Styela clava: one gene and its partner. The protein of the gene in region 1 interacts with the protein of each later gene in a biochemical or structural test. Links are inferred from orthologs where the notes say so. Each region holds a gene or a part of one and is shown on either strand. Other genes may lie near its edges.

Evidence for each region.
Region 2: the proteins of uncharacterized protein LOC120346365 (region 1) and ubiquitin-conjugating enzyme E2 W-like form a complex in vitro, tested with the Homo sapiens proteins (2 studies listed by BioGRID). The link is inferred for Styela clava from reciprocal best matches to the Homo sapiens genes RNF4 and UBE2W.

What each region holds. Positions count from the first base shown.
Region 1 is NC_135257.1:12,951,277-12,964,028, reverse strand, and holds uncharacterized protein LOC120346365, read left to right. Parts: upstream 1-7,848; 5' UTR 7,849-9,104; coding exon 9,105-9,184; intron 9,185-9,374; coding exon 9,375-9,514; intron 9,515-9,933; coding exon 9,934-10,004; intron 10,005-10,205; coding exon 10,206-10,325; intron 10,326-11,260; coding exon 11,261-11,416; 3' UTR 11,417-12,723; downstream 12,724-12,752. Other genes in the region: geranylgeranyl transferase type-1 subunit beta-like, read right to left, coding at 1,374-1,648, 2,064-2,172, 2,562-2,664, 3,065-3,192, 3,992-4,124, 5,656-5,807, 6,263-6,333, 6,740-6,867 and 1 more. UniProt on the Homo sapiens protein: E3 ubiquitin-protein ligase which binds polysumoylated chains covalently attached to proteins and mediates 'Lys-6'-, 'Lys-11'-, 'Lys-48'- and 'Lys-63'-linked polyubiquitination of those substrates and their subsequent targeting to the proteasome for degradation.
Region 2 is NC_135258.1:12,635,051-12,646,671, reverse strand, and holds ubiquitin-conjugating enzyme E2 W-like, read right to left. Parts: upstream 4,122-11,621; 5' UTR 4,001-4,121; coding exon 3,545-4,000; 3' UTR 2,420-3,544; downstream 1-2,419. Other genes in the region: dipeptidyl peptidase 3-like, read right to left, coding at 154-2,295; ethanolamine-phosphate phospho-lyase-like, read right to left, coding at 7,026-7,061, 8,109-8,217, 8,772-8,861, 9,130-9,284, 9,905-10,036, 11,482-11,575. UniProt on the Homo sapiens protein: Accepts ubiquitin from the E1 complex and catalyzes its covalent attachment to other proteins.

The DNA of each region.
Region 1 (12,752 bases):
GATTATAGATGAAATATTGGTACTCCTGAAGTATGTGCACCAAAATGTCGCATAACCTGAACCCTAACCTGGTACACAACCTGAGTTCAGGTTGTGCGCCATCTTGGTGCGCATACTTCAGGAGGTCCGAAATATTAAACTTGGATTCAGAAGTACATTTCAAAAGGTTTAGTCATGCCTGTCAATAATCATGTTTGAAAACACATAAAGGCACAATAGGCTTATATGGACTACACATTGCTCTAGTTTGCAACCACAATGAGAACTCTTTTAGTGTGCGCCAACACCACAATTGCACTTTTTTACAAACTTAGACCAATAGACACTCTTCAATAGCAAACAACGACATCACCACATCCCGGAATAGACACAATTATATCAAAAAGTCTTTCTTTTTCAAATCTTAATCAGATAATAAAAACTGATTTAAATATCACGATATATTCTAAATCAGAGCATGTTTGAATGAAGAAGATAATCAGTGAAACAACAAAGTAGAAGAACAAGGCATCTGATAATTGTGATGTGTCCCATTTAATTTATTGCCTGTGTCCCCACGCTCTACTTTGTTTCGACATACGTCGGACTGTTCTTGAGAAGCCCGCTCATAACATTTCATGGTGCTCCTGAAGTATGCGCACCAAGATGTTGCATAACCTGAACCCTAACCTGGTACACAACCGGAGTTCAGGTTGTACGCCAACTTGGTGCGCATACTTCAGGAAGTCCCATTTCATTTCTATGATTGTTCTTGAGAAGCCCGCTCATATAATTTCATTTCTATATGCCATACATACACTTTAATTCGATATTCCATCACATGATGCTTCAAGATCTCTAGTTCAGTTGCTTGACTCTAAACCCAACCAGCTATGGGTCAATTTGCTACCAGAATTAGCCTTACTTATAGCAATTGCACAATTGGTGAAGAGTGAACAATTTAGTTTAGCCAACTTATCAAACACTAGGCGAGTTTGCCCATTGACGCAGTCCATTCTTCTTCAGTTCCGCCTGTGATAGCGGTTGTAGGTTTTACGTTTTGGTCCCATTATAATATATATATGAATACACTTTTAATTAAAACTTTGGCTAAATTATATCATTCACTTCTTACCAGCTGTACATGTTTTTATTCTTTCAATTTGCTACAAAAAAAATGTTTGCAATAAGCAACTAATATAACTCAATAAACATGATAAAAAGCTTTGATAAATGATTAACAAGTTTCTTTACACGAATCCAAAAGGAGAAACTTTGATACAAATTATGCTAAGGTGCGATAAAAAACAGCATCAAAATTTTATTTCCCGTTCCCATGTGTGGGAATTCCATGTATGACAATAAGAAAGGCAATGAGAAAAGTTGGAAGAAAATTATTCAGATCCAGAGAAATTAGAATATATCCATGGTAAAAATACGGCGCCTAGTCCAATTACAAAAGCCATTACTGTTGTACCAAAATGAGTCCCCATTGCATCAGTCAATGTGGGTGATTGGTTTTTTAATTTTTCTTCATGCCAAGTTCTGTGTAGTGAAAACATATGATCTGAAGCACGTTGGGTAATATTTAACGCAGGATTTATCGGACTTAGATTGTGCATTCCCATCATTGATAATCCACACAATCCCATATAACCATGTAATGCATCTGTAAAAATAAAGATAAAACTGATATGTGAACATAGATTCGGCTCAGAGTTATAGGTAGGTAGAACATTATAAGCCAAGCACTTTATTTATAGCGTTCTGCACAAAGTTTGAGAAGAGCTATAATAAAAGCTAAACGATTGTGCTACTTGTTTTATGTCACAAAATATATCTGAAAATCTGTTCATCAATCAGTTATACATTAAAGTGAGTTATTCTCAGAGTACAAAACTTTTTCCTCGCTTATATATACTATACCTGTTTCAAGGTTTCCTGAATGACCTCATAATTTCATTAGCGGTGGAATTTTCAGTACTCAAATTTCATTACATAAATACCGGTATGCAACAAGCAATTCAAATATTGGTTTAAAAAGAGAAAACAGCATTTAGTATCAAAGATTAATATTAGGTTACCTGGATGGCTTTGTGGCCATTTACCAAAACCGCCTATAACTGAATCTTGCGTTGATATAATATACTGTTCATTTTCATGCCAGTCACACAGTTCCAAAGATCCGATCAACTACAGAAAATATATTGTAGATGAATTTAGGAACATAAATGGATAATAGTTAGAAAAATAGTATCAAAATAAAATGATACATAAGTCTGTTATACTGTTTTACATAATATACATTCGAACAACCCAAGCAGTGCGACCTTTTCCATAAAACTGCAAAATGTGAAGGCCCTTTTGAGAGATAGCAAGTGTAAAAAGACCAGATGAACAAAGTATGGAATAAGAAAAATAAAATATTCTAAGTGAAGACGCAATCAGGTGTCGCGAAAAATTTTGCAAGCTTGAAACTAGTTTTTGATCAATCATATCCACAAATGGATATTCTTTGAAAGCATTCGATGGAGCCACAACAATACTCCATAATCGACTTTCTCACTGAAAAAAAAAATCACCTTCAATGAAGCACCAATCCAGAAGGAATAGCAAGTGTCATCATCTTTATGGGGTCTTCCATGAAATCCTGATTTTTGTCTGTTCAAACACCACCTTTGTAATCTGAAGACATGATAAGTCATTGGAATCACACCCGCAGGTATTTGATCAGTGCAACACAGAAAAGCCTAATTGTCACACTTCCAAAAATTAATTATACCAGATTGTGGAGTGTTTTAAAAATTATATCAGTGAAGAAAGTCTTTTTTAGATTTCAAGCCTAGTCTATTGCAAAGGTCTTAACCTTTTATTCACCGGTGCACATTAACTGGTGCAGGTTATCTATATGAAGTTTCTAAAAAACAGAAACTTGATAATTTTAGTAGCATTATTGGTTGACGAACAAAATTTCAACGTCACCATAAGCCCTATTCCAAGCTGAGTTGATGAAAAACTATTGCTTTATTGCAAATGAAAAGTCGGGATTACTCCAAGGTTTTAAAATAATCTATACAATACAAACCTCATAATTTCCTTCTGTGAAAATGCATTATGAAGTTGATTTAATAATAAAAGAGAAGATATTGCACAATAAGTTGAACCACCGTGACTTTCCTGGCCAGGTCCTTGACCAAAACCACCATCGTATGACTGAAATTTTATAATGCATAAAAGCGTTATCAAACTAGAAGATTAATAAGCCGAAAGTTCAGCGGGCTAGAAAAATAACATTTTCAGCTTGATGCATATATGCTTACTAAATTCATTCTCTGTTTTATAGAGTGTTTTCAGAAGTTTCATTAAGAGGGTCAATAATTGAACTTTATCTGGAGGTTGTTAATTGAATCTTCTTTTGACAATTCATTAACCACTAATATTTCATTCCTAAATTGTGGACAATCAATACCTGATTAACGTAAATGGACAACCGAACCAAAAAAATAAATAACCAAAAATATCTTCAACATAAAAACACTGAAGTATGATAAATAATGCTCTCTTTGGTAAAAAAACATGACATAGGGGGCAAAAATCTCATTAAAACTCAATAGTGAATAAGCATTGAAGCTCTAAAAAAACATTTTTGAAAAGAAACTTTTCAAGTTAAATTTAGGGGCTCCCGAAGTATGCGAACCAAGATGGCGGACATCGGAATGTAATATGTGTACTAGGTTAGGGTTAGGCCATAATTTTAGGTATCAATACTACATAATTTTAGGTATCAATACTACGGGAGGCTCTTGGCTAGTCTTCGAACTGATAATAGGACTAAAATAAGGAAAAATGGAAAAAAATTATCGCCTAACCCTAACCTGTTACCCATGTTACGTTCCGATGTCCGCCATCTTGGTTCACATAATTCGGGAGCACCTAAATTTATTATTTATCATTTGTGCTGGTGTAGCACTACCTGACTTTTAAAAATAACAATTCCCGTACTTACTATTACCTTAGATTTTTTGATATAGCTTACAGCGAGACTTTCATTTATTGGTGAAAAATCATCAAGCATTGTACAGATGCAACTGGCACAATAAATAAATCTCATGTCATTCTCACTTCCATCCAAGGTTGATTCAAAGCTGCATAGAGAAGACAAAATTGAATGGAAATATCAATATCGAAGAAAATACCAAAATTGTTGATCTATGTTTGCGAAAAATTGATGGTCAAATATACTCATGCATATGATGTCATACTGTTATTGGGCACCAGCCAATCAAAATTGATCGTCAGAAAATGCGCTCTCCACTGGTCAAATAATGCTCCAGGGAAGGCCTGCCCAACCTTTTTTGTCTCGCGGGCCACTTTCACGTGACGAAATCAATCGTGGGCCGCAGACGTTTGTACCAAACATTAATAATACCATTCAAGTCCTGATTTCGGTGTAGGTAATTACATAATACAGAAAAGGCGAGTCTATTAACATAAAATCAATCAAATTAATAATTGCTTTCTGGTTACTGGGTAGGGCTGGCAAATTATACGAATATCAAGTCGAATATTAGAATAGCATTTTACTATTCGAATATCTGGTAAAAGGGTCGTGGACATAACACCCGCGAGGGACCTATTCAAAGATTTAATCATTACACAACACAGCTGCTGTTTTTTGACGGCCACGCAAGAAACACACACACCACGTCAAAATTGAGTGTTATATTTGCGTTTTTAGTGTTTTTATTCATTCATTTTCAGTAGCTACGATACTGCTTTAATGTTTAAATGAGCATAATGTGCGCCAATGTCGCGTTTTAGTGGGTTGTTTCGTAAATTTGAAACACCAATACAAGTATTTAATGAAGTACCATAACGAAGATTTCTAAACGAATAGTCGATATATACTGATTTGTGACTAAAAAGTAGCAACGCCATTACGTCAATTTTATCAGAACTATTGACGGATAAGCAGTGACGACATTTCCAAAATCTTATTCAACGTGAACTCAACATGTACAAAAGTACAAACAGAAAAAGACACAAGTCCGGGGACCAGTACCCAAGATATTGTTGACTTTTTATTTTACGTTGGCGATGAAGACGATTAAAGCCGACACAAAAGAAAGCAACCAGAATGAAATTTATTTGCTTAGGCTCCAAGTTCATTCCTATAATTGCGCTCAGCGTTCGTTCTCAATGATAGCACAATATCTTTGAGTTCGTCGAACAGAACGCACAGTTTTGCGAGAAATAAAGAAAAATGACGTTGATGCCCACCACGGTGCAAGACTTAACACATATTAATAATAAGAACCGGCATTTGAATGTAGATAGATGGCAGGAATAATTACACCAAAATCACGAAAGATATATATGTATAGTAAAAAGTATGTAAAAATGTATAGTAAAAATTTAAAAAGTCTGCTTACAAACTTTATAGGGCGGGCCGCGAAAAACAGTTCGGCTGACCGCATGCGGAGTGTGAAAAAAATTCAATAAAAATATAAAAACCTTCAAATAAGCATTTAATTACAATTGCCCAAATGAGTAAAAACTTTAAAAAGATGGCAATTTTAGAAGAGAAAAGTGTTTTTTTCAACCGCAAAATCACCCCCATTCCTTCAATATTAGCCTATACCATAGCTTCAAATGAATTTGACAAAATTCAGTCACCTGCCATCTTTTAATTGTAAAGCTTTCAATCCCTCCAAACATGCAGTTTTATCAACTCTGGACAAGTCATCCCCAAGAATAATTAGACATGCAAGTCCAGTATATGTCATCGCTATGTGTCCACTATCAAAGGTATGTGCCACTTCAGCTACCTATATAACAAATCACTTATTTAGAAATAAAAAGAAATGGTATATTTTTGATATTACAATTTCTAGATACTGTTAAACAGCAACAGAACTTAGGAAAATAAAAGTCGCATAAACAAGCCATTTTATAATTTCAAATGTGAATGGTTGATCTAATTTCAGATATGTGCACACAAGGTGTATAGACCATCTCTAGGTTATGCAAAGGTACGTGTTGGTGTAATTCAACAAAATACCCTGTGTTATCATTAGTCAACAAAAAGGTTGGGTAGGTACTTCATAGTAAGATACAAAAGGAGTATGAGGTAGCTTTAAATAATCCAGAAATTCATATAAAGTATTCAAAAAACCATGACATAATAATTTCACACATTTTTTTTTTGATTTTTCAATCTTCCAGAACAAATTAATTGCTCATTAATCAAGTCAAACAATTTAATTAACAAAGTTTCGTGCACCTTTATGTCCTTATGTGTGGTCACTCCATTTGTAGTTGAACCTCGAAACCCACATTTTCGTTTATTGCTTCCTGAAAACAGTCAAATGTAACTTAAACAAGAAGACTTGAACAACATTACTAGTGATAGGATCCTCACTCAGAGTTACAAATTTAATGTTAAATTAAAAGAAAACAGGCTAATTTATTTGATTTGAAACCAAAACTTATTTCTCACAATTTGTTCAAATAAATGATATGATTACGAGTTCGGGGACTGTCTGTTAGCCAAGTGAATATACCCCCTACCCATAGGTTTCAGTCCTTTTACATAATTTGATGTAAAATAGGCGAACAAAATTAGTTACTTCCATATTGGTACACACATTTCTGGAGCGCCCAATAAAAAGCACCAATTAGTGAATTTCAAATTTTTAGAAATAACAGTTGCTCAATCTTCTCAATATCTTTGTTTTAAAATATTATGACATGAAGTTACCATGCTTATCTGGAACAACTTGAAGACTATAGATCCAATCAATAATCTCTTTCTTAGTTGATGAAGACAACTTATTCAAAGAATTCAATACATCTAGTCCAGATACCGCGAAGAACGCAATGGTCAACCTGTGTATTGAAAAATTACTATTGATTATTTCCATAATTAAATTAGAGATTTGGTATATAAAAATTGCTATTTTACAAAATATCATTTTAATTCAAGTATATTTATATAGCAGTGTTTGGCTATTTCTATATTAAATTGAATATTCAGTAAAAAGGGGGCAACAAATGTGAAGTAGGTACTGTAGTGTAACTAACTTTTCAAAGACATACAGACATAGGTATTCCATTCATATCAAATCAATTGAACTTGACAGACTGCTACAAAATTCAAGCAATAACAATAGTAGTGTTTTCGTGTTGTTGTTTTTTGCAATATTCTGTTTTGAAATAAATTTTTTTTGGAAGACTTGAACTACCGGTAACACTGTACAGTACGGTAGCCTACCTAATAAATAATATGGTACTGTAATATTAATAATACTATATAAATATTGGCATATGTAGTCTTTGAGAAATAATAAACAATCACTATTTATCATTGTAGTCTATATTTTATTGATACAGGAATACCTAAATAACGTATTCAATATTTGCTCACCTGTTGGAGTCCAAAACCTCATATCGACTGGGCAAAACTTGTAATGTTCTTGTGAAAAATCGAATGTGCTTGTCCTTGTCAAACTTCAAGTTGTTTGATTCTGCCATACTTTCAATGATGTGTAAATTGAGTCAGTGTGTAGACTGTCACCAAGCCGACAAAGCAGGACCTCTAGTTCTAGATTATCAGCAACACTATTGGTCGACTCTATTCCTTTCGCTCCTGCACCCCGTGAATCAATTCACCAAGCCCAAGCAATGCAGAAACGAACTCTTGCGCCAACTAGCGCATGGACAATATTGAATAACCAGAAAAGGAAACTAACGAAAGAACATTTTTTTCCGAGTGGACAGCAAATTCCAGAAATCAGGAAGTTGCGAACTGGCTTACCTAGTTCCCAAAAGTCTGAAAGTCTTCGAACGAGAATAATGACTGAAATTTTTACTTACGAGTGGGGTTGTTGAAATCACTGAAGTACACAAATCTAAAAAGCGGATGAAACTTCTTTCAGTAGAGTGGGCGGCTGCAGTTACTAACAGCTGAAATCAAAACAGAAGAATTATCCGTGGATGCTTTTTTTCGACAGAGCAAAGTGGCTGAAGTCGCTAAAATGTTGAAATCTGAAATGTCTTCGTACAGAGGGAGGCTGTTGATTTTTGGTCTTTAGATACAGAGATAACTGAAATGTATTGTAGTTATACCGGTACCGTAACATCTCAGCAATTTATTTTTTGTATTCAATTACTGAATTAGTGCAGTATTTTGAATAATCGAACACGGAACAATTTATAATCACGATACTGTTATATCAGAGTATACAGATGTTCGATGTATTTTAAAAAAAATTACCTTATCTTTATCCTATTTTCAGACTACAATTCTACAAGAATATAAATATAAGACTTATTATCTGCCCTCCACCATTATTTTATAAATTTTTGAATTTGTATAAGTAATTTGTTTTCAGTCCTTTAAAGCCTTACTGGGCTTGGCATGTTGGAGTGAATTTTGTTGTCATTATACGACTTTGCAGAAAATGTAATGATATCCATTTAAAAATTTTTTATTAAGGAAGTACCGTACTATAACAGGCTGTCATTTTCAAGTTACTTATGCCAGTACAGCAGTATGCTAGGTTTATTACACCTCTAGCACACAGTTTATCGATATTCGAGCTGTCGGTTGAATGTTTGGGTCCGGTATAGTTTATATCACATGCACTTCTGGTTGGTCTGGCTCGACAATTATTGCATATGTCAATCCTAACCCCTACCTGACTACGTCACCAAAATATTACGTCACTACGACGCCACAGTAGCGTAATAAATACCTCCAAAGTGTACATATGGTCGTCCAACATGCGCAGATGAAATCGAGCAAGCTATTTCTCTCGTTTTCTCGTTGCAACGAACCCGATATGAGAGAAGGCTGACGTTAGTGAGTTCGGTATAGTCTGCGCAGATGCCATTTCGGACGATGGTAGCTAAACTTGGCAAGCTCTATGACGTGATTGTGAAGTCGTAGTGACATAATTTTTGGATGACATAGTCAAGTGGGAGCTAGGAATAACATGTACAAAAAAACCGAAAGTACTTGTGGTACTAAACTATACTAGACCCAAATGTTTATCCTCACTTCAAACTTTATTCCAAGCTGACTTGTTTATCTATAAGCTATACTATAGCTCTGTTATTGTCGAATGATGACTGAAAACTCACCCCAAATTATAATTGGGAATAATATTGTCACAGACAGTGGGAGAAGTCGACGACTCAGAAGGTAAGCAAATTTATCCCTTTTTCTCATTTTCATACATTTTTTTCTCTGAAATTATTTAGGTTTTTGCATTGTGCATAACAATTATGAATGTCTATTTCAACCCATAAAATCTATTTTTTCCAATTTAACAAATATGATTTATTTGTTTCTCCAAAACAATTTTTTAAAGTTTGTAACGAATATTGTTTAGAAGAAATATGAGGAGAAGTTCTGCTGACATAATCGTTCTAGATAGTCCATCAAGTCCAACCACAACAAATAGTTCTGTAATACCGAGACGTCGTAGAAGAATGCTTCCAGAGTTGAACACCGACGCAGATACTAGCATTGGTAAATTTCAATGAGTCTCTGTATGCTCTTTTGTTTATCTCCAGCTGTATTTTTAACATAGGCTACATACGGTATGTTTTTTTTTTAAAAGATTAATAATTGGGTACTCAAAAAACAGTATGATGTTTTAGTGTGAAGCTAAATCAGTTTTTCATTGAGGTAGTTTTATAGACTAGTTTTTCAAGGGATATTCTTTCAGGTTTTATCAATAATTCCAGCACATTCATAATGACTTTTCATTGAAGTCAATTGCTTCTCCCTTTTTAACACTTATACATCTTCACGCTGAACGAGAATCTTGTCAAGTAGCACCTGATATGTAATGAGCTACCAAGGTGAAGAAACAACCAGTTTGCCAAAATAATTCAGGACTTCAACAGGTTATAAAATCATTTGTACATGCCTTGTATTTTTTCTAGTTGATTTGACCTGTTCTCCAGATGCTATTGTTGATCTAACCTCACCAGATTTTAACACAGCAACAAGAGAGGTTGGTATATGTCAAAGCAGTAAAAAATTGTTTGTTTTATAATATGATACTAACTGCTATAAGAAAGGAGTTGTACCCTTCAGATTTTAAAATTTGTGTGGGCTATATACTTATGCCTTCGAAGCCTTTTGTCGGATAAAAGCAGTCAAATCAGCTCAGCACTTTTAACTGGCATTATTTTTTTTTTCTATTTTACATTAGCCTGCGCCAGTAACATTTGAAATCAGTGATGGAGAGGAGGAACTAAATGAATCTGTCGAAAGTCCAACTCCCACACAACCTGCGCTGTCGTGTCCTGTTTGTTTAGAAAGGTTCTCTAAGGTGCTGTACTTTTTCTAATTTACTTTTGAGGCTACTACTAATTTAATCATCTTAGTGGGAACTTGAAACTATTGTATGAGCAATATTGGCTATGTTTTTCTATGTTTGGGTTTCCCAACCAGTCCTCTATAGTTCAGTTTTGTCAATAAGCTTGTTATGTTATGAAATCAATCATTGTTATACTGATAATATTCGGATACAGATATCATATATTGTTGTGATATTTGCTTTATTCATCTGGGCTCTGTACTCCTGTTATTCTAAACAAAGCTTTCATATAACGCTGACACACTTGATTGTTTACAACAGGGGTCGGCAACCTACGGCCCGCGAATCCGGCCGGCGACGCTTCACTGAATTATAGGAACAAATTATAGCTGTTTTGTCGATTATATTGTTTACGCAAAAGAATTTACGTGTAGACTAAATTATATTATAACGCAATAAATATATAATTCACCATTACTCGTTTAATGAGCGTATAATTTAATTATAATTTAGACAAATGGCAACAAAACGCAGAAAAGTTAATGCTAAGTGCAAATGGTTTAATGGCGCAAAAAAAATTCAAATGGTCAGTCTTCGTGCGCTGCTTAAAATTTAACTTATGATCTGTGTGATAAAATGTGATTCATCGGTCATCCATTCAATTTTTAACTTTCTAAAAATATGTGCGGCCTGCCAATGACTTGCAACCTTTAATTTTGGCCCGCGAGCGACAAAAGGTTGCCGACCCCTGGTTTTTACAACTTTATATATGTTATTGACTTGTATCACAAACACTATTTCATAATTTACAATGGTGGATTGACTATTCACAATGTTGAATACTCATCTGTTTTTTGCATGAAACTATTATATAAATCCATTAATGAATGCCATTTTTGAATTGTATTGATTATGCAAATGACTCATGGCAATATTCCTTTTTCCAGATTGTTCGAAATGGAGGTCAAGTAAAATCGACAATATGTGGTCATATATTTTGTAACGTTTGCATAGCAACTGCAATACATCATAATAAAAAATGCCCAACTTGCCGAAAGAAATTGGATTCTAGGAAAGTACATACTCTATACTTGCCCGTTTGAAAAAAACTTGTTCTTGCTGAATTGACTCAAAGTCATAAAAAGCTAGTTTCTTGTTTGAAATGCACTTTTTTCTCACATTCCTTCCTTGTGTAAGTTTTTTGTGTTTCCTATCATTGCATATTTAGACTAAAAGCTGCATTTTTTCAAAATGGCGACTTTTAGCAAGCGCAGGGTAAAGTTGAAGTTTTTCTGCCTTTGACAAAATGTGATTTTTCCACTCTAAAGGCTCTAAAATATATCTTGTGTTGTGATCACTGCCTATCATATGTTGGGCATCCATCTGCTCATTTAGTGTCATGGTTGTTATTACTAATTTAAACACATTCAAAATTGGATCTTGTATGAAGCGTCCATATTTTTTTTCCGAAATTCAGAAAAAATATTTTCAAATATAAAATATACTTTGAATGTGGCTCTATCAACAAACAACATACACAATTCATTGTATATTTACAAAGATTGATGTTTATACCACTGAAATTTTAACACCAGACGGTATTGAGATTGGTTTACTGTTTGTTTACAGTTGTCAGAATTAAGGCAAAGCAGTTATTATTCGTGGAATATTTAGTTAGATGTCAGAATAACAATTCACTATTGATAACTTTAAAATCAAGGTCCACTATATCGAATATAATGTATTTTTATTATTCGATTTATTTTGAACATCTATTCTTCAATTACTGAATATTTTCATGATACAAGTAAATAATTCTCAATTGGATTTTGGCACAGTCTTGTTATACATGTTTTGTAGCGTTATGCTATGAAGGATGTTCCCTGTTGATTGATTACTGTAATTATTGGTATTGCATCTCATAACAGTGTTTGTTATGGTTCATTTGTCTTCACCATATGAATGTGTGTATGATGCACGCAAATTCTCACAGTAGCAATTCCTATTTAAACTTTGCCAAATAAAACCCTTCCATTGATAACACTGCATAAAGGGTCTTTTTGGATGATCTCTGCTAGGCAGAAATGTATAAAACCTGTGAATTCTTTATTGTCGCTTGTTATATTCTATTCAAATTTCTTTGTTGTAAGTTGAACAAAACCATTGAAACTATAGGACTGGCATATTTTTCAATGAACAAGTTGCATGACTGCCTTTCACTCTCAAGCTTTCGGACACATTGTGAAACTTGTTTTTGTGCGTATACTTATATTACTGGCGAAATTGTCTTAGCAACTATTCATTTCTGAGATGGCAGGTTATATGAGCTGCTGTGCTGCTCTTTTACTATGAAATTTTTTTCTGTGACACAATAAAAAACCTTACGGATTGACTGGTAAATCCATATAAATCAATATAGATTTTAACTCTTTTGACAGA
Region 2 (11,621 bases), on another chromosome or scaffold:
AACTTTTTATATATAGTGGGGAGGAATGAAGAGTTTGAAAAATAGGTTAAAGAATGCACCAAAAAAAGAGGGAAACTACTTAACTAAGGCTTCCCAATACCAATGCATCATTGTCAGCTTGAACTGTCAGGATGATAAGTTGCTTGCTAAATGTTAACAGTTTTTCAACAATTCATAAATGTCATCATCTCTGAATCTATCTGCAAACGAATCTATCAGGCCTGAATGGGTGGCAGGATAAGAAACCAAATTAATTTCTTCACTTTTATTAATGGTGTTATCTTGAACAAATAACTTTCTTGGTTGACGTCGTAAGATGACGGTCTGTCTCAATTTTAACATGTCGGGTTGTATGTCAGATCCCACAGTTGCATAATTCTGCCACATAACTCTGGCAGTCTCACAATCGCCGTGCGATTTGTAGACTTGCAGTTTGCACAAGAAATCACCAATTGCTTTTTGACCTTTGGTCTCTATGAGTGAACGATCAAGAGTGATAAGAGCATCTGGCTTTCCGTCATCTTTGCATGTAGTGTGCATAACAGTCACAATACCAGCCTCCATCAAAACTCTGAGAATGACATATCTTGCTTGCATATGAGCTTGCCTCCATGTTTTATTTTCTGGAGTGTAGTACAGAAGGCCTTGAACTCCTGCCCAAACCATATTTAGCCAATTGACATAAATGATATCATCGGCAGATTGTCCTTCATGTCCAAAAATCTTGAGTGCATCCCTGTTGAGGCACAGGTATAATCCCACACATTCTGCCCTACATTCCTCATATGGTGAGGAAAGTTCAACAAATTTGCTATCCCACGTTTCACCAGATTTGTACCATTTTTTGACTAATTTATTTGTCAATGGATTGATGACTTTTTCTTTATCAAAATTCATGGTTCCATCTTCTTTTGTGCTGAACAATTTCCCACTGCCGTGTCCTAACAACTCATGCAATCCAACTTGAACCTCAAAAGATTTACTTTTGTAATCCTTGAACATAGCCTGGTCTTCATCGGAAAGAAACCATACTTTTTTTCCTACAGAATACGCTGCAGATAACACATTACCAAGTGATACATTCTTGAATCCTTCCGACTGACGAATGTCATCATAGTTTGGTATATTGATACCAGCAGGAATACCACTGCCAGCAAAAGCAAGAACATCAAGAGATGTAAAATCTGGACGCAAAAATGTATCTTTCTCATAATCCTTAGGCCATGGCAAATGTTTCAGGAGTGTATCAGATGATGCAACAAGATTTGCAAATTTTTTGCTCATTTCTTTGTTGACAACAGCAACAAATCCTTCAAATTCACCTCTTGTTCCAAAAGGATCCCTGTATGACTCAATGAACCCTATATAAGATTCTACAATAGGTCCTTGGTCTCGGATCCAAAATCGGGAACCTTCTTTATGTGCTTCGAGATCACCACTTGTGAAAGAACGAATGTATTCCTTAATCATAGAGGCTTCATTTTCATTAAGAGCATTAGCTTTCGCCTTTTCCAAATTTTCTACCACTTTTTTCATCAAAACACTATAATCCCCACGTTGAACTGTGATTGAGTGACCTTCAAATTCATGGTCACCTAAATAAGGAAGTTTATCACCACTATCATCAGTTTTAGAAACTGATGCGAGCCTGACTTCATACTTGTACTTTCCATCATCCAACTCTTTCTTAAATAGTCTAGTGTTATAGGCACTTATAGATTTTGCATCCAGAAATTTTTGTATCATTTCAGCATCAGCTTTGTCGCAATTGAGTGAGAAATACGCTGTGATTCCATTCCCCTTTAAACCCAGTTGTTTGTTGTTCTCATTCAGAGAATAAGTTCCTTCAGCACATGCTTGCATCAAGGACTCAATGAGCTCCGGTTCTTGACGATATGCATCTGTACACATGACCAACTTCATGAACTTCTCCTGAGGAACTCCAGGGATGAACTTTGTGTCACCAAATCCTTTATAGTTTCCCATGTTTGCCAGAAACCCAGCAATGTAAACATTGAATGCTGTTACATCTTCTGCTGAAAATCCACATTGTTCAACAGCAATTTTTGCAATTGCTTCTGCACTCTGCTTTGAAAATATTTTCATCAAAAGACAAAATATTTTTGGTGACTCGGGAGAAGTTTGGTGCAGGACAATCAGTCCACCATAGAATGATGCTTTTCCCAAATAATGTGAATACAATTTTTCACTCTTGCTCAAAGCTTTAAATGCTGTGACACAATCAAGGTGGCAAACCTCAGTTTCATTTTCTAGAATATGCTGTGAAACATCCATCTTCTTTACTGAAATTTGACGTATGAAAACCTTTTGCTGTAATTTCGGTGCAGATAAATTAATTGAATGTATCCTTCGCACAGATCGAAACAAGGTGGATGCCAGATTGCTTCCAGTCAAAATACTTAAAAAATAAAGAAACAAAAAATAAAACAAATTATGCGCATTATGAAAAATAGTGCAAGACAAAACAAAGATTGATATCAAATTGCGAAAAGGATAGAACTTTTTCTTAATTATTGTAGCTATTTTCAATTATACTCTGAATAAATTTGTCGCCATACCAAATACAGAATAAATCTGATCATGTGAATAATAAAAACATTGATCATACTTAGTCTAACAGTAAAATTTAAATAATATGCATGAAACCTTAAGCTAGCATACGAAACCAGTATACTTCAATTTTAGCAAAGCTCTGGACAGTAAAGAAATTGCATATGAGCAATTATTGAATTACTTTAGAGATTATATTGAACCAGTTTAACATACCGGTAATCGATCAGTTTCGCACAAACACGGTTGCAGTGGTTTAACTAGGACTCTAATTCAAAAAAGATTTTAATGGATATATAAGACAAGAATGGCTTAAGTTTAGAAAAACATAATTTCGCAAAGAAAATTTATCAAATATGCTATTGTTAAGAGAAGAAAATATATCAAAGAGTGTGTTTAAAATTTGACAAGACAATGAAGTAGAATATTATCTAGAAGCTGCTAAAATACTCAGAACATAGTGATTTTAAAATATTACATAAATTAAGCTATAGCACAGTATTGCATACAATTCACATAGCATTTATTGGTGCACTTTAAAATAATAAAATTAAACTTGGCCTGCAATAAGAGCGCAGTAAACTCTGCTCCAAAATAAAGCTTGAAACCTATAATAAGTTGAATAGGCTGCGCTTCGTGATGCCAAGTTTTTGTGACTACAAGTTTGAATCATGACATCTACATATATAACTCGCCGAAAAACGAATCCATTGTGTTAATCTTGGTTGTTTTCTTGATAGCTTATCAATTTATAAGCGATAAACAAAAATAAGAATTTGTATCAGAGTTTAAGGAATCTATGATATAATTAAAACAAAGGCCACATCAAATATTATAAATTGCACAACCTGTCTGTTTTTAAAACTCCTATACACATAGTTTAAAGTTCATTTAGAGTTTTGACAGACCCAAAAGAACACTGGTGATAAGCAGAAACAAAGCACACTTTGTTGTAAGATATATCTTGAAACAATTACACGTTATCATCATGATACCACCAACTTGTATCTTTAGGATTCTTGCTGGCCCTCATAACATATATTGAATTATCGGGAGGCCTTTTCTTTTCCTTACAACTGCTTAACATAGATATGATACTCAGACAAACAGACTCAATAGAAAGTGCTGGACTCCAATCTGTTGTCAATATGGATAAACATATATGTCCGTTGCTATAAATATGAGGATGAACTGGAATTTTGTTGCCAGTAAACATGACTTGAGGCGACTCAAATGGATATTTATCCCCAAATATGAATACAAGATTAAATACTTCCTTCGCATACAAAGTGTTGTCTGCACCAGTGAGTTCCATGGTTACGCGTGCCAATGAAGTGTCATCAGGGTTTAGAAGTTTCACACCTGGTGGTGGTCTCACTGCTAGATTTTGTATTTCTTTACTAATCCGTTTTTGCTTGAAATTAGCCATTACCAATATTCCTGTAGTGAGTAGCGTACAGTACTTTAATCCAAATCAATATTTGTAACTTCAAAGAGTCATATTACAGAATTAGCCTAAAAATAGCTAGCTATTTGATGATTTAAAATTGTAGAAAAGAATCATAAAATTGGTGTTAGACCTCTCAGGCAAGAATCGCCTCAAACAATTATCAATTGCACTTCGCTATTATTCCTGTATTAATGACAATTTCCGAATGATCCTGTGCTCCAGTACAATATGCAGATATGCTATGCCAGGTAATCAATGGAGTAGGAAATACCGTACATGCCACCTACAGTAATGTACGGTAGCGAATTAAACCCTAGTATCTGCGATACTCATGAATTTGTTTGTGAAGTGATAAACTTAAAACTATACTTAGGTTCCGACTTCCGACCTTACCTCTGTACCTAGTTATCGCAAGACAAACTCACACTAAAATGATGGAAAACTCCCGGTAGCATGGCCGGAACTTCCTCATTAAAACAAGACTACCGGTACTATGATACCACCACTGTGAAGTGAGTCGCACTCCATTGAATTCCCGTGATGAAAGATGCGATTTCCATATTTATCACGAGACTGCTGAAGAAGAAACGTTGATAAGGATAGGATTTACATACTGGCAAATTGTAACATTTGCTAATCAACTAGACATTAACGGCTAAGTACAGCTGAAAACTGACAAATAGCATACAAAACCATAACAATAAGCTAAAGTAAGGATAAGATTTACATATTTATCCCGGGGTAGAGGAAAGCCGATTTGACGGCTCAACCATATGGCGAACCACGTCCTCTCGTCCGGTTACCATTCCATGTCGGGTATGGGATTAGTTAGATATTTGTTTTTCCGAAGCATGGACTTCACCACCATGCCTGTAAATATCTTCGTGGGAATCTTTTCTGAATATAAATTTGGGGAAAAGTTGTCTGAGGGCTTATAAATTATTAACGTCACCATTATATCTTGCTGATTTTAGCCAATGTTACAGAAGTAAAAAGAAAGTGCACGTTCTCCGGTGGCTTGAATAGTAATAATATTTATACGAGAATATCGGTCGGAGACCGAAGAGTTATCGATCGTCGGTTAGGGGATCCCCCAAAACAGCGTTCTTACTCCATAGTGACACCGTGTGTCCCATCACTAATTAATTAATAACTCGCTAATTATACGACATAATTTATCAAAAATCAATAGGCTTCTGATCCGAGCTATGATGAATGCACATGCAAAATTTGGAGAAGATTCAACCTCGCTATCGTGAGATATCGCGTGCATCTAACAGACAAACAAACAAACAGACAAATACCTATCAACATACTTACCGATCGTAAGATCGATAACTAATGAGCTGGATATTACTAAGCCTCAGAATCGAACCAAGATTTGTACAATCCGCATAGCTCCGGTTTTTTGTTTTGTAAGTCTAAAAAACTTAGACGGTATGTTAGTCATTGGTTTAAATGAGGATTTTATGCCCATCAGTGCAATGGAGTAAGTATATTCCTAATAGCATATTGACACCTATTCTACACGAGGTGACAGCAAATTAAAATAGCACATATGTCACATGCACAGTTGTGAATGGCTTGCTAATAGAGGAGTCAATCAAAGTGGTTTAATTGGGCTAATTTAGTGTTGTGAGCACGAGAAATGAAATAATACTGCGCGCGAAAGCCGCGCTAATAATCCAGCTATTCAAAAATCGATTGTCATTGAATGAACAATCACTCGCAGTCGGTGGATTTTTACATTTATCTTCGGGAGTCGAAAGATGATAACATGTCAATCTTATTTTACGAAATATGGCCATCACCCGGTTCAAGTATTACCAACCCGTTCAGCTCAGTGTGATGCACCGTCTGACAAATTCAGCCTCAAGATGTAGGCAAGAAGCAGAATAATAAATTAAATCGTCAAAATCAAGCAAAGAAATGCTAAAATTTCAAATCCGACAATTCATTAGTGGAATTGGTACCTGTCGCAGAACAATATGTCAAACATTTCAGAGGACTTCCGCCGAACTCCTGGTAAAGAACCAATACAATAGAGCAGGGTGGTCCAAAGTTGTGGGCTCCGCGGGCCACAATAGTACCAAGAATAGGTAAACAGTGCAATACAAAACAAGCACTTCTATTGTGTAAACACTTGGTTATCTGGTATTGTCAACCTAGACTAATGGAATCCGCATCCGATGTTTAGTATTCTATCATGTTGCCTATGTTGTAAGCATATACGAATTCCCGACCAAAACGATAGAAATCCAGGTAACAATTTAGACTGCCCATCATATCTTCAACTTCGCTAGTTGCTTCAGCTAGCCATCATACTATTCAATTCAGTCACAGTAGTGATATACCAACAATATGTCAACGATTTTTCTGATTTATTTCATGAGAAGCTATTTAAACTACGTAGGTATTCCTAATTTTCTGGCGCTCAAAGACGCAGTTGGTCGATGCTCTCTAATTCTACAAAACATACCGTTTTATCAATCCCAATTATTTCATTCGCATCTGTCAGGCAGGTAAAAAAGACAAATTTTTCTTATGTTACGGATAACCCCAAAAATAATGAAACAACACAAAAAATATCTCAAAATGTTTTCTGTTAATTATGAAACTAATTAACATAAAATTATAACACAAAAATCAATTATTATAACAACAATTAATAACACGGTTAATGGTATTACAAGTAAGATTATTACGCTATTATGGCTGTAATAATTATATTATTTCATATTTTGATTTAAAAAGTGCATGTTTACAAATTGTACACAAAGGGCGAGTTATTTTACTTAAAAAAGTGATATACATCAACATGCTGTATTAGGTGCGACATATTTTGCTCATTTGAAAACTGCATTGCAGCGCGTTCAAATATTAATAGTACATATATGAATAGCTCTCGATGCATGAATTATAATGATAATTTTTGATCGACTCATAATATGTATAAATCTCTATAACGAGAAAAACACGTTGGTGTTCAGCTGTGTATCACGGATCAGCAGGAAATTTGAGACAGAGTATCGTCCAAAACCTACGAAAGAAATAGGATTAAATTTTATATTATAATCAAATATCTACAATACAGCAAATTATTAGTTTAAGTACATAGGTTTAATTGGTTCGGGAAATTATAATTTGTAGATCAACACTACAAGGCGGTAATAGATTATTGTATTACAGCAGTGGTCAGCAAACTTTATGTACTTGCGGGCCAAATATACACATTTCCAGTAGCGTGCGGGTCGCATTATTATCGTCTACGAACACTCGCCACATTAAACTTCAAAGTCAGGCGCACTCTCACTTTCTATTGCTGTGTCAAAGCCTGCCACAATGAGGCGTATATGTGGTCTTTTTCAATATATAATCAAACAATGCATTGTTTTTATCTACTTATTATATGTGAAGGATGATGTTTTTCCTGTGTCATGACCAAAGCGTTAAAATTAAATGGCAACTATTTTGCTCCGCGGTACGTCGTCCAAACAAATGACGATCTGACCAGCGAGTACGAAATTTATTCTTAGTGTAATACATTTTAAATAAATCTACTCACAGCAATATGTGTTTTTATAATGTTTTATAATGACGATTAACATTAAGTATCATAATAACTGCGATGCTGACTGTGCATATCAAGCAAACTGGATTTGGAATGCGCAAAAAAAGAAAAATATTTTTCCGTCCAATCACTTTGGAATGTTCGACCGCCGAAAACTTCCCTCCGTTTCCCAGACATTCCCTCGAACGAACCGACTTTTAATGCATAAAACAAAAATTGATCCTAAATTTATTGTTGCTTCCGCCCGGATTTATGTGGTAACAAGTGCTGCTGTACGGCGCTTGTTTTGTAATAACTGGAATCAATTCTATGTCAATTACTTGATGAACGTTCCGTCGTTGGTAACAAATTAAATTAAGTTACGCGGGAAATTAGTTCGCACGCCGCAGTTTGTCTATCCCTGCCTTACAGCGTTTTCTGTGACTGTGTTTTGTTCAAATTCAATGTAAATTTTTGCAGTAAGGCGAGTTTCTAGGCTTTTCTTTTATAAAGTTCTGCGTTATACATTATCCATACCTCAGCAAGTTGATCTGCGTTATCGTAAGTGAAGCACATGGGTGGCTTGAACTTCATGACGTTGTTGAATGGACCGTCCAGGCTCACCAATATGTACCGATCACGCATCCTGCAAAATCAGAAAAATATACGAATGATTGCTGAACACTCAGATAGAGATATCAGTCTTCTAATTTAGGTTTTGAAGATACTAACTAGCCATAGCAATTTATGGCTTTTCTCCTCATTCCATATAACGTGGCGAATAAAAAAAAAACTGATGGAAAGAAACCCATTAAAAACATTTGTTTTGAAGAGCAGGGTGCCACATAGTGTTGGGTGTCTTTGTAGAGGGCTACAAATCATGGTGAAGGTCTGGGAATCAGCGGCCTAAAGATTTGTTGATCGAATTGTAACTCTCCTCATCCACAACCTTGGCTTTTTGTAGTGATTGAAATAGTAGAATTCTGTTTAGCAACTGTTACGCCAAACAAGCGAGAATAAAATGAATGGTGGTGAAATCGAGAAGCGCATACAGGCCGGCGGCAGTCTACATATGTTACAATTAAAATAATATTTAACCCATAACCGTTTTTATTCACAACTGGTGCTTCCCAAAAAAAACTGAGCCAGTCAGTACTGCATTCCTTCATATTATAGCAACTACAATGCAAAGTGCTTTACCTATTATACATGACTTCAGCTTCTTCTGTTGCAGGTTCTTTCGTTTTTTCATCACGCACCAGTTCAACTCCAATGAAAAGTCCAACACCCCTGCCATGAAAAACATATTGTAATTTTCTACAATGAAAATTTAAATCAACTGCATCGACCAAGCTAGCTATTCTTGTAAAATGACAACTCAATGCAATAAAAATTTCATGTGACAACAAATAACAATATATCGTCACAAGGGAATTACAATATGAAACATTTAAAATCATGGCGGAAATTGAATCTATTTCGTCTGGTAAACGATAGCTGAATAAATCAAAAGCATAAGTCTGAAGTAATTTTGTCGGAAAAATCCAAAAATCCCGACCTCACGTCTCCGATAATTTTGTGTTTTTTTTTGAGCAATTCAAACTTCTCAAGAAGATATTTTCCAACAGAAGATGCGTTTTCCATTAAATTTTCATTTTCAATGATATCCATCACCGTGTTGGCGATTGTACATGACACCGGGTTTCCGCCGAACTAAAAAGTACAGAACAATATGTCATATAATGATAGAGGAGGTCATCCATGTTCTGTATCGCAGTTCGTAAATGAGCAAAAAAACATTAACTATTCAAGGATACAAACAATAATTTCTTAAGTTCGAAAATATGAAATCATTGCCCGTAAAAGTACTACATGGACAATCTCACATTGCGACATAGAATACCAGTGTAAAAATCACGATGCGATACGGGCTTATTTAAACCTTAGAGAATTGAGCTCGATGTTTAAATTCAACTTTTCAAAGTGTTATAGTAACTGATGAATCAACCATTTGCTAAAAGCCAATTGCTTTCGACTTTCGAGATGTATAGCAGAACCTATTTTTCGATATTGATTAGAAAATGCGTTAAAATCATAAATACCATCTTAAGAGGTCGAGTGTTTGAGTCATTTCAAAACAAGTCATTGTCGTATATCCCTTTGCGGTAATTTTCTTGATTTAAAACCAGTACAAGCCCAGTCAATGTATGTTTATAGTATGAATTAATCTCATGACGTCAAATTTTGGTGTTTAGTGTCAGCTCTCATAACAGTGTGTAATTTCCATCGCGATTGCTAACCGCGTGAAAACACAGGGTTGCTGACATACATACCGTGTTGAAATAAGAAGGCAATTTGTTAGTAAGACTGTCTGCAATCTCTTTTGTTGTAATAACGGCTGACACAGGATGACCATTTCCCATCGGTTTCCCAACTGTAACGATGTCTGGAATGACATCTGGGCCCTTAAACCAAAATAAAAACAAGAACTAGCTAACACCTTTGAAAATGTGGGTCGAGGACTGAATTTAATAATCACCATATTGGTATTCAATTGTATGAAAGATGACTAACATAAGGTACGCGGTAGCATTTTAAAAGTAGAACCTTGCGCACCATCTTATTTGATTATGTTTCGACTGATTATTCTGGGGTAAAGAGGGTCGTAAACATGTTGTGCAAATTACTCAAGCTGTAAATTGCTGAAAGAACCCAATGTTGATTGAGTTTATGATGCACTTTCTTACAATCGTGTTGACGAAGATTAAATAATCAAATTCGAATAACGTCAAAGCAGTCGACAAGGTTTTTTAGTCGACGAGGCTTTTTAGTCAAGTACTGTTACATAAATGACAAAAATTGTGATGTGACATTGTATTTCTTTGTTCATCACACCATATTTTGATACAACATATTACTTGTTAGTTGTTGTGTTTCACAAGAAATGAACCCCAAGAATGATCAAACCGCTTTCTAATCTGATTTTAGAAAATACAAAGCAGTTTGCAGCATTGTTATGCAAAAACACACAAGATTTACAACAAATTTTGAGCCCGGAAAAACAGTTGTCATCCTGTTTCGCCTGCATGCTATTGACGCAATTGACAAGCGTTACCTAGGTCCTAGAGACCTACACTGTTGAAACTCGAATGAACTTCTATGGATATACATACAAACTTCAAAATGAATCGAATATAAAAGTGATGTACTATTCAAACATAAACAGGCGACGACAACCAGTTTTATGTTAACTGAAATACTTGGTAAACACATACTTGCTCGCCTGAGTAGCGCAATGTTTGGGGTGCAAACTAATATCTCTCAGAATTCTAACGCATTATCTTCATTAATATTTACCTTACAGTTTTATCTAATATTTGGCAAAGATGATACTACGAAACGCGAATAAAAAAGCGTCGCATGGATAACGGTACTCAAATTCTTGATATTGATTGGGCATTGAGAACAGATAGTACACACCCCTTTACCACGTGATTAACACTCTATAATCATTAACACACGCAGACTGTCTTAAATTTGTTCAACTAATAAATTACATTATTTATAATCGTATAGATAATATAAGGTCATTCAACCCATCTAAGGTGTGTTTTCTTTGCCAAAAAGTTGATTTATCCCAGAGACTAATGAGGCTTCGGAGTTTTCTAATGCCTATTCGCTATTTCACGTGCCAATATTAAAATATTACATTAAAATATTTATTTATTACTACTAAGAATTACTAATCTACTGATAATATTTAGCATAGAATTGAAAAACAACATCATTAAGACTTTCAAGTAATTACTCAAATTTCGCAGCAAAGTGATTTATTTTTATTCGAAAATGGGCGTGGTGTATCGTTTGAATTAATGCAGAGCCAATCGGAAAAGGGCAAACTCCATTTTACCTGCAATTGAAATGCCCAGTAATGTGATCCCACTCGGCCAAATCCTACTTGCACTTCATCTGCGATACATAGGCCTCCTGCAGCACGCACATACCTAAATTAAATATGGAAAATCAATAATATAAACAAAAAAACAGTCG